Linked DNA regions of Mus musculus. The main gene of each other region encodes a partner of the protein of the gene in region 3 in a complex. Links are inferred from orthologs where the notes say so. Each region holds a gene or a part of one and is shown on either strand. Other genes may lie near its edges. The genes, in order: Lage3, Gon7 and Tprkb.

The links.
Region 1: Tprkb (region 3) and Lage3 share a complex: the UniProt entries of both Homo sapiens proteins name them as parts of the EKC/KEOPS complex. The link is inferred for Mus musculus from reciprocal best matches to the Homo sapiens genes TPRKB and LAGE3.
Region 2: Tprkb (region 3) and Gon7 share a complex: the UniProt entries of both Homo sapiens proteins name them as parts of the EKC/KEOPS complex. The link is inferred for Mus musculus from reciprocal best matches to the Homo sapiens genes TPRKB and GON7.

What each region holds. Positions count from the first base shown.
Region 1 is NC_000086.7:74,351,540-74,354,871, reverse strand, and holds Lage3 (EKC/KEOPS complex subunit Lage3), read left to right. Parts: upstream 1-1,253; 5' UTR 1,254-1,344; coding exon 1,345-1,547; intron 1,548-1,869; coding exon 1,870-1,998; intron 1,999-2,373; coding exon 2,374-2,488; 3' UTR 2,489-2,710; downstream 2,711-3,332. UniProt on the Homo sapiens protein: Component of the EKC/KEOPS complex that is required for the formation of a threonylcarbamoyl group on adenosine at position 37 (t(6)A37) in tRNAs that read codons beginning with adenine.
Region 2 is NC_000078.6:102,754,933-102,759,062, reverse strand, and holds the start of Gon7 (EKC/KEOPS complex subunit GON7), read left to right. Parts: upstream 1-1,252; 5' UTR 1,253-1,317; coding exon 1,318-1,522; intron 1,523-4,130. Other genes in the region: putative E3 ubiquitin-protein ligase UBR7, read right to left, coding at 885-1,034; Gm20604 (AK010878-Moap1 protein), read left to right, coding at 1,318-1,522. UniProt on the Homo sapiens protein: Component of the EKC/KEOPS complex that is required for the formation of a threonylcarbamoyl group on adenosine at position 37 (t(6)A37) in tRNAs that read codons beginning with adenine.
Region 3 is NC_000072.6:85,922,163-85,925,812, forward strand, and holds part of Tprkb (EKC/KEOPS complex subunit Tprkb), read left to right. Parts: intron 1-970; exon of another isoform or gene 971-1,054; intron 1,055-2,197; 5' UTR 2,198-2,219; coding exon 2,220-2,360; intron 2,361-3,650. UniProt on the Homo sapiens protein: Component of the EKC/KEOPS complex that is required for the formation of a threonylcarbamoyl group on adenosine at position 37 (t(6)A37) in tRNAs that read codons beginning with adenine.

The DNA.
Region 1 (3,332 bases), on a different chromosome or scaffold from region 3:
CTGCTCTTGCAAAGGACCTGGATTCAGTTCCCAGCACCCACATGACAGTTTATAACCACCCACAACTCCAGTTACAGGATTCACATAGATACCAGGACCTGCACACAGTAGGTGCACTTATATACAAACAGGGAAAACACTCAAACACATACAATAAAAATAAATACATTTAGCTGGGGTGAGGGTTGTGTTTTAATCCTGGCACTCAGAAGACAAAGGCAGGAAGATCTCTGAGTTTGAGGCCAGCCTGGTCTACAGAACAACTTCCAGGACAGCCAGACCTACATAGAGTCTCTCTCTCCTCTTTCTCCTCTCTGTCCTCTCTGTCCCCCCTCTCTCCTTCCTTTCCCGATCCCTCTACCACCACCCTCAACAGGGCCTCACTATATAGCTGTCCTAGAACTCACTATGAAGACCAGGTTGACTTCAACTTCACAGCCACCTGCTCTGCCTCCAAAGTGTCGGGATTAAAGGCATGTAACCCTGGCTAAGAGAACTTATCTGGAAAAATAAAGAAACCTCTTGCTTGCTGATACTCAAAATCTCATTTCACTTCATTTGTTTGTTGATGGGGTTTTCTGTTTTGTGACTGCTTTTGAGATGATATAAATATGTAAGTCTGGATAGCCTAGAAGTGGTTATGTAGATCAGGCTGACCTCCAACTTAAGCAAAGAACTATTCCCACCTCCTAAATCAGTGGTTCTCAACCTTCCTAATGCTGCAACCCTTTAATATGTTCCTCATGTTATGGTGACCCCAACCATAAAATTATTTTCATTGCTACCTCATAACTGTAATTTTGTTACTGTTATGAGTTGTAATGTAAATATCTGATATGCAGGATATCTGATATGTGACCCCAACTTGGGTCAACCCACAGATTGAGAACCATGGTCCTAAATGCTAAGATTTCTTCAGGCATCACCACACCAGGCCACTTGACAGTTTTTTGGTTTGATAGTGTTTTGGTTTTTGTTGTGGTTTTGTTTTTTAGAAAATATCACCTTAGGTCCCTTTTAGGAAACTGTAGGGACAACTTGGCATGGTGATGCACTTTGGAGGCAGAAGCTGACCAGATCAACCTATAAATCCCTGGAGAGTCCTCCTGCCCACCCCCACCCCCCCCCCCCACCGCTCCTCCCCGCCCCGCCTCCCTCCCCCCCCCCCGCCCCTCGCCCCTCCCCGGCCCCACCACCTTCCCCGTTCGCGCAGGCGCGTGTGGAATGGCAGCCTGTGCGAGGGGCGGAGCTTCCGGAGGATAAGGCGGGTTCTGGGCCGCAGCAATGGCAGAGGCGGCGGGCTGGTAACGCGAAGGTGGGTTGAAAGGAGGAACAGCAGCAGACATGCAGACAGCACACACAGGTTTAAGCCACACTGCAGATGGCGCCGATGGTCAGACTAGCCGCTGTTGTCCTGGTAATGCAGGCACAAAGGCAGTTATTCCCAGTGGAGCTCACCCTGTTGCAAGAGCACTGGAAGCCTCCCGAAATTCCAGCAAAAGCATGGTGCCTTTAACCCAAAGGCCTGGAACCCGACATCACAGATTGTATCCTACCGGACATGGACATATCTGCGGGATGCTTGAAACAGGGAAGCGGGTAGTCTGGAGGAGGGTAAAAAAAGAAAGAAAAGAAAAGAAAAAAAAGCAGGGAGGAGGGAAGCAGAGGGACCCGCTGATTGGGGTATGGCCTGGGCATGAAAAGTTCCTTGACAACAGAGGAGGGGCAGCAGGGTGGAGGGAAATGAGCAGGAATGGCCCAAGCAATGTGGAAGATATAGCCTGGGGAGCTTAGACCAGATGCGATGATTTTAGAGGGGTAAGGAGGCAAAGTTGATTCAAGATGGTGCCTTTCCTGAGTCTCTACCAGCTCCCTCTTCGTGCCTTTCCCGACCTCTTTGGAGGCAGAAATCGCCTGTGGGTCCCTAGTTCCAGATGTCGAACCACATCGAGGACTGGTAGGGAAGGAGCTTAAAGTGAGCGGCTGCATGCTGGAGGTGTAAGTGTTGAAAGAGTCTAGGATGCTGGGTAGGTGTCTGGGCCATCCTCCACCCTAGGCTGCACTTCCTCAGAGACATCATCACACTAGAGTGATTTTTAAGGAAAGGCATGATGCACTGGACCAGTCTAGTCTCTACCTGCAGTACAGTGGATGCCTGACAGATGAAGAAAGGGTAGGAGCCAAGAGAAAGGCAGATGGTCTGATTACTGTGAGTTCCAGGCCAGCCAGATCCACATAGCAATCCCTAAGCCAACCATGGCTACATAGTGAGAGATTTTCTATCTATTTCCAAAAAAAAAAAAATAAATAAAAGGAAAGAAATAAGGGTAGAAACTACCAGTTTGAATTTGATGTTCTTTTCCTCACTCTTAGACGCTGGATCGCGGAAGATTCTCGCCTCCTCCGACTTTCCATCATCAACTTTCTTGACCAGCTTTCCCTAGTGGTGAACACCATACAGCTCTTTGGGCCCCCAGTTTCCTGTTAAGCCTGGCTGGGGACCCATGTCTGACCTTATCTCCGTCTCCTCCTAAGCAATACAATTTTCCCTAGGGAAAAGATTCTAGAAATAGTAACTACTACATAAATGTGGGGGCCTAATATTTTTTTCCTGATTTGGTCCTCAGGCACTTAGGAGCCATTTGGTCTGGTGCTTCAATGTTTGTTGCTGAAGAAAATAAAGCTATGTTGCTAATCTGCATTTGAGCTTATTTTCAGCCTCTAAATTTTCTTTGGTTTTTATTTTGTGTTGGAGGAGGGGCTCTGGAATTCAGGTGGTTTCTTTTGTTTGTTTTTTCTTTTCTTTGTTTTAAAAAGATTTATTTATTCATTTTTATGCATATGAGTACACTATAGCTGTACAGATGGTTTTGCGTCTTCATGTGGTTGTTGGGAATTGTATTTAGGACCGCTGCTCGCTCCGGTCAACCCCATTCGCTACGGTCAGCCAGCTTGCTCCAGTCAACTCCGTTTGCTCAGTCCCTGCTCACTCCAGCCCGAAGATTTATTTATTATTATACATAAGTGCACTTTAGCTGTCTTTAGACACACCAGAAGAGGGTGTCAGATCTCATTACGAGTGGTTGTGAGCCACCATGTGGTTGCTGGGATTTGAACTCGGGACCTTTGGAAGAGTGGTCAGTGCTCTTAACAGCTGAGCCATCTCGCCAGCCCTTTTTCTTTTTTTTTAAGACAGGGTTTCTCGTGTAGTCTTGTCTGTCCTGGAACTCACTCTGTAGACCAGGCTGGTCTCAAACTCAGAAATCCACCTGCCTCTGCCTCCCAAATGCTGAGATTAAAGGTGGGCACCACCACTGCCCGGCTCAGGTGTT
Region 2 (4,130 bases), on a different chromosome or scaffold from region 3:
CACAACAGCAGAGTCCAGGGTTTGAAACCTAACAATGATCCTCCAAATTTAAATACCAGCGACCATGCTGTGACTACTTCTGGGATACAAGATTTATTCAACAATTTTACAGTGCAAACCCAACTTGGTCAACGAAGACAACTAGTATTATGACTTCAGTCCACGCCACACCATAACTCCAAGTCCCTTCACTCCTACCCCAGTCTCCCACTCCACCCATGGGCATAGTTAGCCTGTTTCCTTCCACCAATTCTCATCCTTGTTGTTAAGTTTCCTTCCTACCCACCCTTTTCCACGTTAGTACTTAAATGTACAGTATGCGTCACTAAACACTACATCTCAGCCCCTCAAACTCTCTCGTTCAAAAGGTCCCACAAATGCCAAACAGATCCTTTTCTCCTCTTGGCTTTCCAGTCCCCAGAGAGAGGGGATGTCACATAGCACATACACACGAAACTTCATTTAACCAGAAAGGGGGTGAGGTGGGGGCAGCTAGCAGTTAAACTAGACTACAGGAGTGTCCGGAAGCCGAACCTCACCGGAAGATTTTCAAAGCCGGCCCACTTTCCCTTTACTTTTCCCCATCTGGTCCCTAATTAAGATTCTTGGGCGGTGGGAGAAGTGGAGCGAAGAATATCTGGGTTTGAGAGATCACGAGAACAACCTCGTGAAAAGCAGGCCACCAAGAGGCGACAACTGGAGGACCGGAGCCTGCAGTGTACCATCAGCGGAACCGAGGGACAGCCCTGGTGGCGACAAGCTGAGGATGAAATGGCAGCCGGGCCGGGGCTGTAGAAGCACAGAGTAAAGGGCCGCCGTGAGTGGGCCCGGCCGCGGCCAGCGGGAAACAGACAGGACGGCGGGAGCAGCCGGGCCGCGCGCACCTGCGAGTAGGAGCACTTCTCCGAGTCGCTGCCGCCCAGGACGGCGCACGCCTCATTCTCCAACTCCTCGTCTTCCTCGAGCACGTCCACCAGCGACACCACGGGCTCCAGCTCCGCCTGGCACTCGGTGGGGCTCTCGGCTCCGGCCATCCTCAACTGTCACCGGGCTCCGCTGCGTGGGCCCAGGAGGAGGCGGGAAAAGTGGCCGCCGCCAGGGGCGTCGCGAGAAGGCGGGGCCCCGTGAGGAGGCGGAGCCCGAGCACCAGACAGCCAATCCTAAGGAAGGACACGGAAGAAAATGGGCGGGCCAATTTCGGGAAATCGGAAGTCATTCCTCCTCCTCCTCGCCTCTCCCGCCCGCCCCGGCCGCAGGCTGGCTTCCGCTTCCGGGTGGCGTTTCTCCGAGGCGCGCTGTTGAAGCTGAGTGGTCGCCATGGAGCTTTCGGGCGAGTACGTCGGTTGTGACGGGGAGCCGCAGCGGCTACGAGTGTCCTGTGAGGCGTCGGGAGACGCGGACCCTCTCCAGAGCCTGTCGGCGGGCGTGGTCCGGATGAAGGAGTTGGTAGCGGAGTTCTTCGGGACCCTAGTGGAGCAGGACGCGCAAGGCTTGGCGGAAGATCCGGACGACGCTTTGGATGGTGAGCGCGGGGGCGGGGCGCCGGGGGACACTGGCGGGACCGGGCAGTGTGAAGGGCAGGCTAGAGAAGGCGAGCCCCGGAGAAGAGGAGCAATCGCTTCTAAAAATCCTTAGAACTCGCTGCCCTCTTTGTCTGATATCCCACCGCCCCCCGTTTTTGCGACTTTTCCCACCAAAAAAAAAAAAAAAAACCGTGGCGAGCGTTGGACTAGGGACTGGTCAACGGACGAAGTCAGCTTGACTCCCTTGCAAAGAACGCAAAGGATTAAGATAGGCAGAGAAAGTGGCGGTCTGTAACCATTGCTAGCTGGCACGAAGACCCGAAAGGGCGGGAAGGTAGACCTGGTTGTTGAAAAACGGAAAGGAGTGAAATTAGAAACGAGAAAACGTGTTTGACAGAATGAGGAGAGCTTCGAATGACCGAGGCCCACTTTGTTTTAGGGAATCTTAACCCTCTCAGTTTTGTAGCTATTGTTTCGAAAGTAAAAGAGTTCTTTTTAGTTTAGCTTTTTGGTATTCTTAAATTAATTGATCGTTTCATTCATGTATTAATGCATTCAGGTCATGGTCTCTATCCCCCGCTGAACCCTTCTCGACAGGGCTCCTCGCCTTTCTTTCCGGCCTTTTTTTGTCACTGGATTTATTTAAGGATATTTGTATGATATTTACTGGAACTAGGGCAACACAGCAGTGACTAGACCACTGAAGAAAAACAATGACTCCCCCGCCCCCCATTAACCGCCAACCGCTCCTCTGAGAGGGGTGGCGCCTCATGAGCCCCCCCCTTCCTTGATGGAATGTTTACGTTGCCATCTTGTGCTGCCAGAGTTTAAGGGCTATATAATGTCCGAAAGCACTACAGCCCTTCCCGTCCTCTTACTTTCTCTCACCCCCTCTCCTGTTGTAGAAATTAACTGTTAATTTTGGTGGCTTGGGGTTTGTTTGCTTTTAAAGATGGATGTTTACCTGCATGCTTGTCTGTACACCTCTTATGTGCAGTGCCTTCGGAGGCCAGAAGAGGGCATCAAATCCCCTGGAACCAGAGTTACAGATAGTCAAGAGGGTGCCTCGTACATGCAGGGGAAAAGTAGGTGGTGCTCTTAACCACGGAGCCATCTCTCCAGCCCTAGCTCTGTTAATAGGAATAAAATTATTTTGTAGACATTGTCACCATGTAACGGTTAAACCAGCCTCGCTTTGGATTTGCAGAGACCTGCCAGACTCTGCCTCAGCAGTGCTGGAATTAAAGAAATATGCCACCACACTCCACTGTTGTTACATTTATTTCTAATCTTGAATTGAACACCAAGATAGATGTTTCATTGTTCTGAGCTAAGGAGTCAATTCTTCTGCAGAGGAGATTAAACTTCCGTATTCTTTATAATATAGTTATTGGCTGTCATTAAAAGGAACAATAAGGGGCTGGTGAGATGGCTCAGCAGTTAAGAGCACTGACTGCTCTTCCAAAGGTCCCAAGTTCAAATCCCAGCAACCACATGGTGGCTCACAACCATCCATAATGAGATCTGACGCCCTCTTCTGGTGTGTCTGAAGACAACTACAGTGTACTTACATATAATAAATAATTTTTTTAAAGAAACAATAAAAAGTATTAGCTAGATGTATTATTCACGGTTCTTCAAAGGAGCAGAGCTGATAGAATAAGTGTGATATAAAGATATTTATTAGAATGGCTTATGGCCTGTGATCTGAGTAGCCCAAAACTGGCAGTCTCCTGACAGAAAGGCTAAGCATCTGATAGTTGTTTGGTCCATGAGACTGGATGTCTCAACAGTCCCAATCATGTACTGGAGTTCCTGGAAAGTCTTAAGAGAGCTGCCAGTTTTCAGTCTATGTTGGAATCCTAAAGAGTAGGTTCTAACACCAACAAAGGAGTATCTTGGGCCTCTCAGTAACAGGATAGATGAACTTGATAGTCAGTGAGGGCAAGCAGGCAAAAAACAAAAGCTTCCCTCCATATCTTTTCACCTGGGCTGGGCAAGTTGACATTACTTGTCATTCTAAGATAGGACAGGCCACATTGTTGGTGGAAGTGTAAAGTGGTTATCTTAATTATATAGTTAGAGAAGAGCCTAGCTGTATGGCCAAGGTATTTGGATATATATTTTGAGTCTGAGTCTTATTTCTGGGAGCATTGGTCTAGGAGGAGGAACTGGAATCAGACTTCTACAAAATGATACCCTATGTTGGGTGCCAATAGGTTGTAATAAATTAGGAGTTTCTACTCCACCTTAGATCATTTAGTTCTCAGATTAAAAGACTTCTATTACTGTTTTATAATATGTAATAATATGGGTTTTTTTTTTTTTTTGGTTTTTGGTTTTTAGTTTTTCAGACAGGGTTTCTCTGTATATCCCTGGCTGTCCTGGAACTCACTTTGTAGACCAGGCTGGCCTCGAACTCAGAAATCCGCCTGCCTCTGCCTCCTGAGTGCGGGGATATAATACAGTTTTAATGCACTAGAGCTGGGCAAATATCTCCTTTCTAAGCTATTCTGAGCCACTTCCCCCAAAATAACCCCGGGTTATAACTTACCGTGTTCTATCTGGGCAGCTCTTAACTCCAACTGGCCTGTCCTCATGGCATGG
Region 3 (3,650 bases):
ATTGACTCCGCCAACATGAGAACTTTAAAAAAATATTTCTTAATATTTATTTATTTATTTTACTTATATGAATACACTGTAGCTGTCTTCAGACACACCAGAAGAAGGCATCAGATCCCATTACAGATGGTTGTGAGCCACCATGTGGTTGCTGGGAATTGAACTCAGGACCTCTGGAAGAGCAGTCAGTGCTCTTACTGCTGAGCCATCTCTCCAGCTCCCACATAACAACTTTTTAAAAAAAAAAGTTTTAAAATGTATTCTTTTTTCATACAAGATATCCTGACCAAAGCTTCCATTCCTTCCAGCCCTCCCCCATCTCTCCTCTCCCATAGAGCCATTCCTCCCATCTCCCTTTAGAAAAGAGAAGGCTTCCCAGGGATATCACCTGAACATGACACAACCAGATACAGTAAGACTAGGCAGAAACTCTCACATCAAGGCTGGGCAAGGCAACCAGTAGGACCCAGTAAGAGGAAAAGGGTCCTGAGAACAGGCAGAAAACTCAGACACGCCCACTCCCACTGAACATGACAACTTTTAGCCCTATTTAGTCACACCAAACCTTGCCATTGGTTGAATAGACTATTCTCAACCTTTCAAGATGATAAAAAGGACATCTTATTTTATCATCATCAAACTTCCAGTTTTCCTCAAGAAAGAAAACTAGAAATGGATCTGACAGATAGAAAAGATGACTAGAACCTAGCAGACTGGCTAAACCAAAGAAAGAATCAGTAAGGTGTTGGTGCTGGAGATGTCGCTCAACAGTAGAGTGTGCTTAGCCTTGCAAAGGCCCTAACTTCTGTGTCCATCATTAAAAAGAAAACTGATGGTTGAAATTGTTCTTAAAATGTATGTATTTTTCTGTAATGTATAGCATGTCTGCTGTACCCAGGGCATCATTCACAATATGTGAGACCTCATGCTGAGCACAACCCCACACTTCCTTTACATTATTACATTGTAGGTGGGAGCCAGCGCAGCTGCTGAGAATTACTTAACAACTGTATGTTCTTGGTCAATTCCATGTTGAAATATATGTCTGAGTAAGGTATGGTATTTGAGTATAAGTTATTTTTCTTAATATTTGTGACTGGGCTTTGTTAAAGTATAAGTAAAATAGACTAGGAAGGATACGGTAATGAAGGTCTCACTACTGTGGTAGGTGATCTGTGATCTGTCATCTCCTGGCGTCCTGCATCAGGTTGGAGTCTCTGGAAGATCACGCACAGAGGCTTCCCACCTTCCCAAGCAGGGCGCCAGCCGCTCTCCACCCCCACCCCCACCCCCGGAAATGGGAGAACGAGAAACAGCTCGGCACAGTTAAAAACACGCCTTATAAAGATGCCAAAGATGTTCTGGAAATGGACTTTTCTACTTTAGGAATTCTGTAGTTAATGAAATTAATTTGTTAGCTCCAACTGTCAGCCTGACATAGTCTCAGAGTTACCTGAGAAGGGACTCTTAATTGAGGGATTGTGCAGATCCTGTTGACCCATTGACCTATCTATGATGGGCTGCCTTGACTCTTAATTGTTGTGATGTAGAAGGGCTTAGCCTACTATGGGCAGCACCATTCCCTGGGCAAGTGGTCCTAGACTGTATTAACAATCTAGTTAGTTAAGCAGAAGCCAGCAGCTGAGTGTTCCTTTGTGGTTTTGAGTTCCTGTAATTATAAGCCACATAAGCCCTTTCCTCCCCTAAGGTGCTTCTGGTCAGAATGTTTCATCACAGCAATAGAAATAAAGCTAGAGGGCTGGAGAGATGGCTTAGTGGGTAAGAGCACTGACTGCTCTTCTGAAGGTCCTGAGTTCAAATCCCAGCAACCACATGATGGTTCACGACCATCCATAATGAGATCTGATGCCCTCTTCTGGGGTGTCTGAAGACAGCTAGAGTGTACTTACCTATAATAAATAAATAAATCTTTAAAAAAATAAAAATAAAAAAGAAATAAAGCTAGAGAAGAAACAGGGAAGTAGAATGCAGGGATTTTGTTAAGATGGTTACATCTGAGTGTGTTTTCATAGCACTTCTAGGGCTTGAGGGGCAGAGGCAGGAGGATGGAAGTACAGAGCAAGTTATAGGACAGTAAGACTGTCAGGTGAGACAGACAGACGAGGAGAAACTGGGTGGAAAAGATGGAGGCAATCTTTTACATATAAGAACCTGATGACCTTTTGTTTTTGTCCAGGAGAGTCCTTCTTGTCTACGAAATGCAGCTATCACAGCAGCTGGACTTGTTTCCTGAATGCAGGGTGACCCTTCTGTTATTTAAAGATGTAAAAAATGCAGGAGACTTGAGAAAAAAGGCCATGGAAGGATCTATTGATGGTTCATTGATAAACCCCAATGTGGTAAGTACAAAATATGGGAATGAATTAACCAAGGCAGACATTTAAGAATATGTTCATTTTACCTTATAATTCTTTTATATTCAGGTAAAAAGTGTTTGCCCAAGTCACACTTTGGTGTTTTAAAATAATAAATAGAGTCTAAAATGCTATATCCTGTCTTAGGAAGGGCTATGGCCTAGCTGTGAGCACATGTATGTTCTGGCAGATGCCTGAGTTTTGTGCTTCTCATACGTGAAGTGTGAGTCTGCAGAAGCACCCTAGTGTCTTAGTTACGGTTGTGTTGCTGTAAAGAGACACCATACCCAGGGCAGCTTATGAAAGAAAGCATGTAACTGGAGGCTGCTTACAGTTTCAGAGGCTAGTCTATGACCATGATAGTGGGGAGGCGCGCGGGGAGGGCGGGCGTAAGAGCTTACATCTGGCCCACAAGATGGAGGTAGAGAACACAAGTGGGCCTATTGTGGCCTTTGGGGTTTCAAAAGCCCATCCCCAGGGACACTTCACACCCTAGTGGCATCAGTGAATCCTCAGAGCCTATCTCCAGTGACACACCTCCTCTATCAAGGCCACATCTCCTATGATGGCTCTTCTTAGTCCTCAACCTGACTACATCTGGAGTGAACTAAACCCTCCAAATGGCTGGGCATACCTGTGAGGGGATCTTTGCTTACGTGAATCATCTGAAGTGGGAAGATCCACTTCTAATCCAGATCTTTGAGGTGGGACGACACACCTTTAATATAGATCTTTTGAGATCGTAAGATCCACCTCTAATCTGGGCCACACCTTCTTCTCGGAAGCCTATATAAAGGACACGGAAAAAGGAAGCTCTCTCAACTTCTTATAAAATAGGTCTCCTACAAAATAAAAAATAAATACTTCAAGAGAGAAGAACCAAGACACAGTCACAGTCAAAGCAAAATCAAATTCCAATTGTGTAAACAACACAATGTCCAGTATCTGGGATCCACTCATGATCTTCTGAGCTCCTTCAAAGGGCTTGCGTTACTCCAGCTCTGTCTTCTGTAGCATGCACAACATGTCTTCTAAGTTCAGGAAGCCTCTATTCCACTGCTGCTGCTATATACTGGCATCTCCAAGATGCTAGGATCTCCTGCAACTAGGCCACACCTTCACCAATGGCTTTTTCTGGCCTCTCTCAGTGCCAAACCTCAGCTACTCTCCATGACCCCTTTATGCCTCCAAAACCAGTACTATCTGGGTCACTCTTAAACTTGCCAAGTTCAGCTGCAGCATAAGGTGCAACCTTGACTACCTCTGCAACACAAC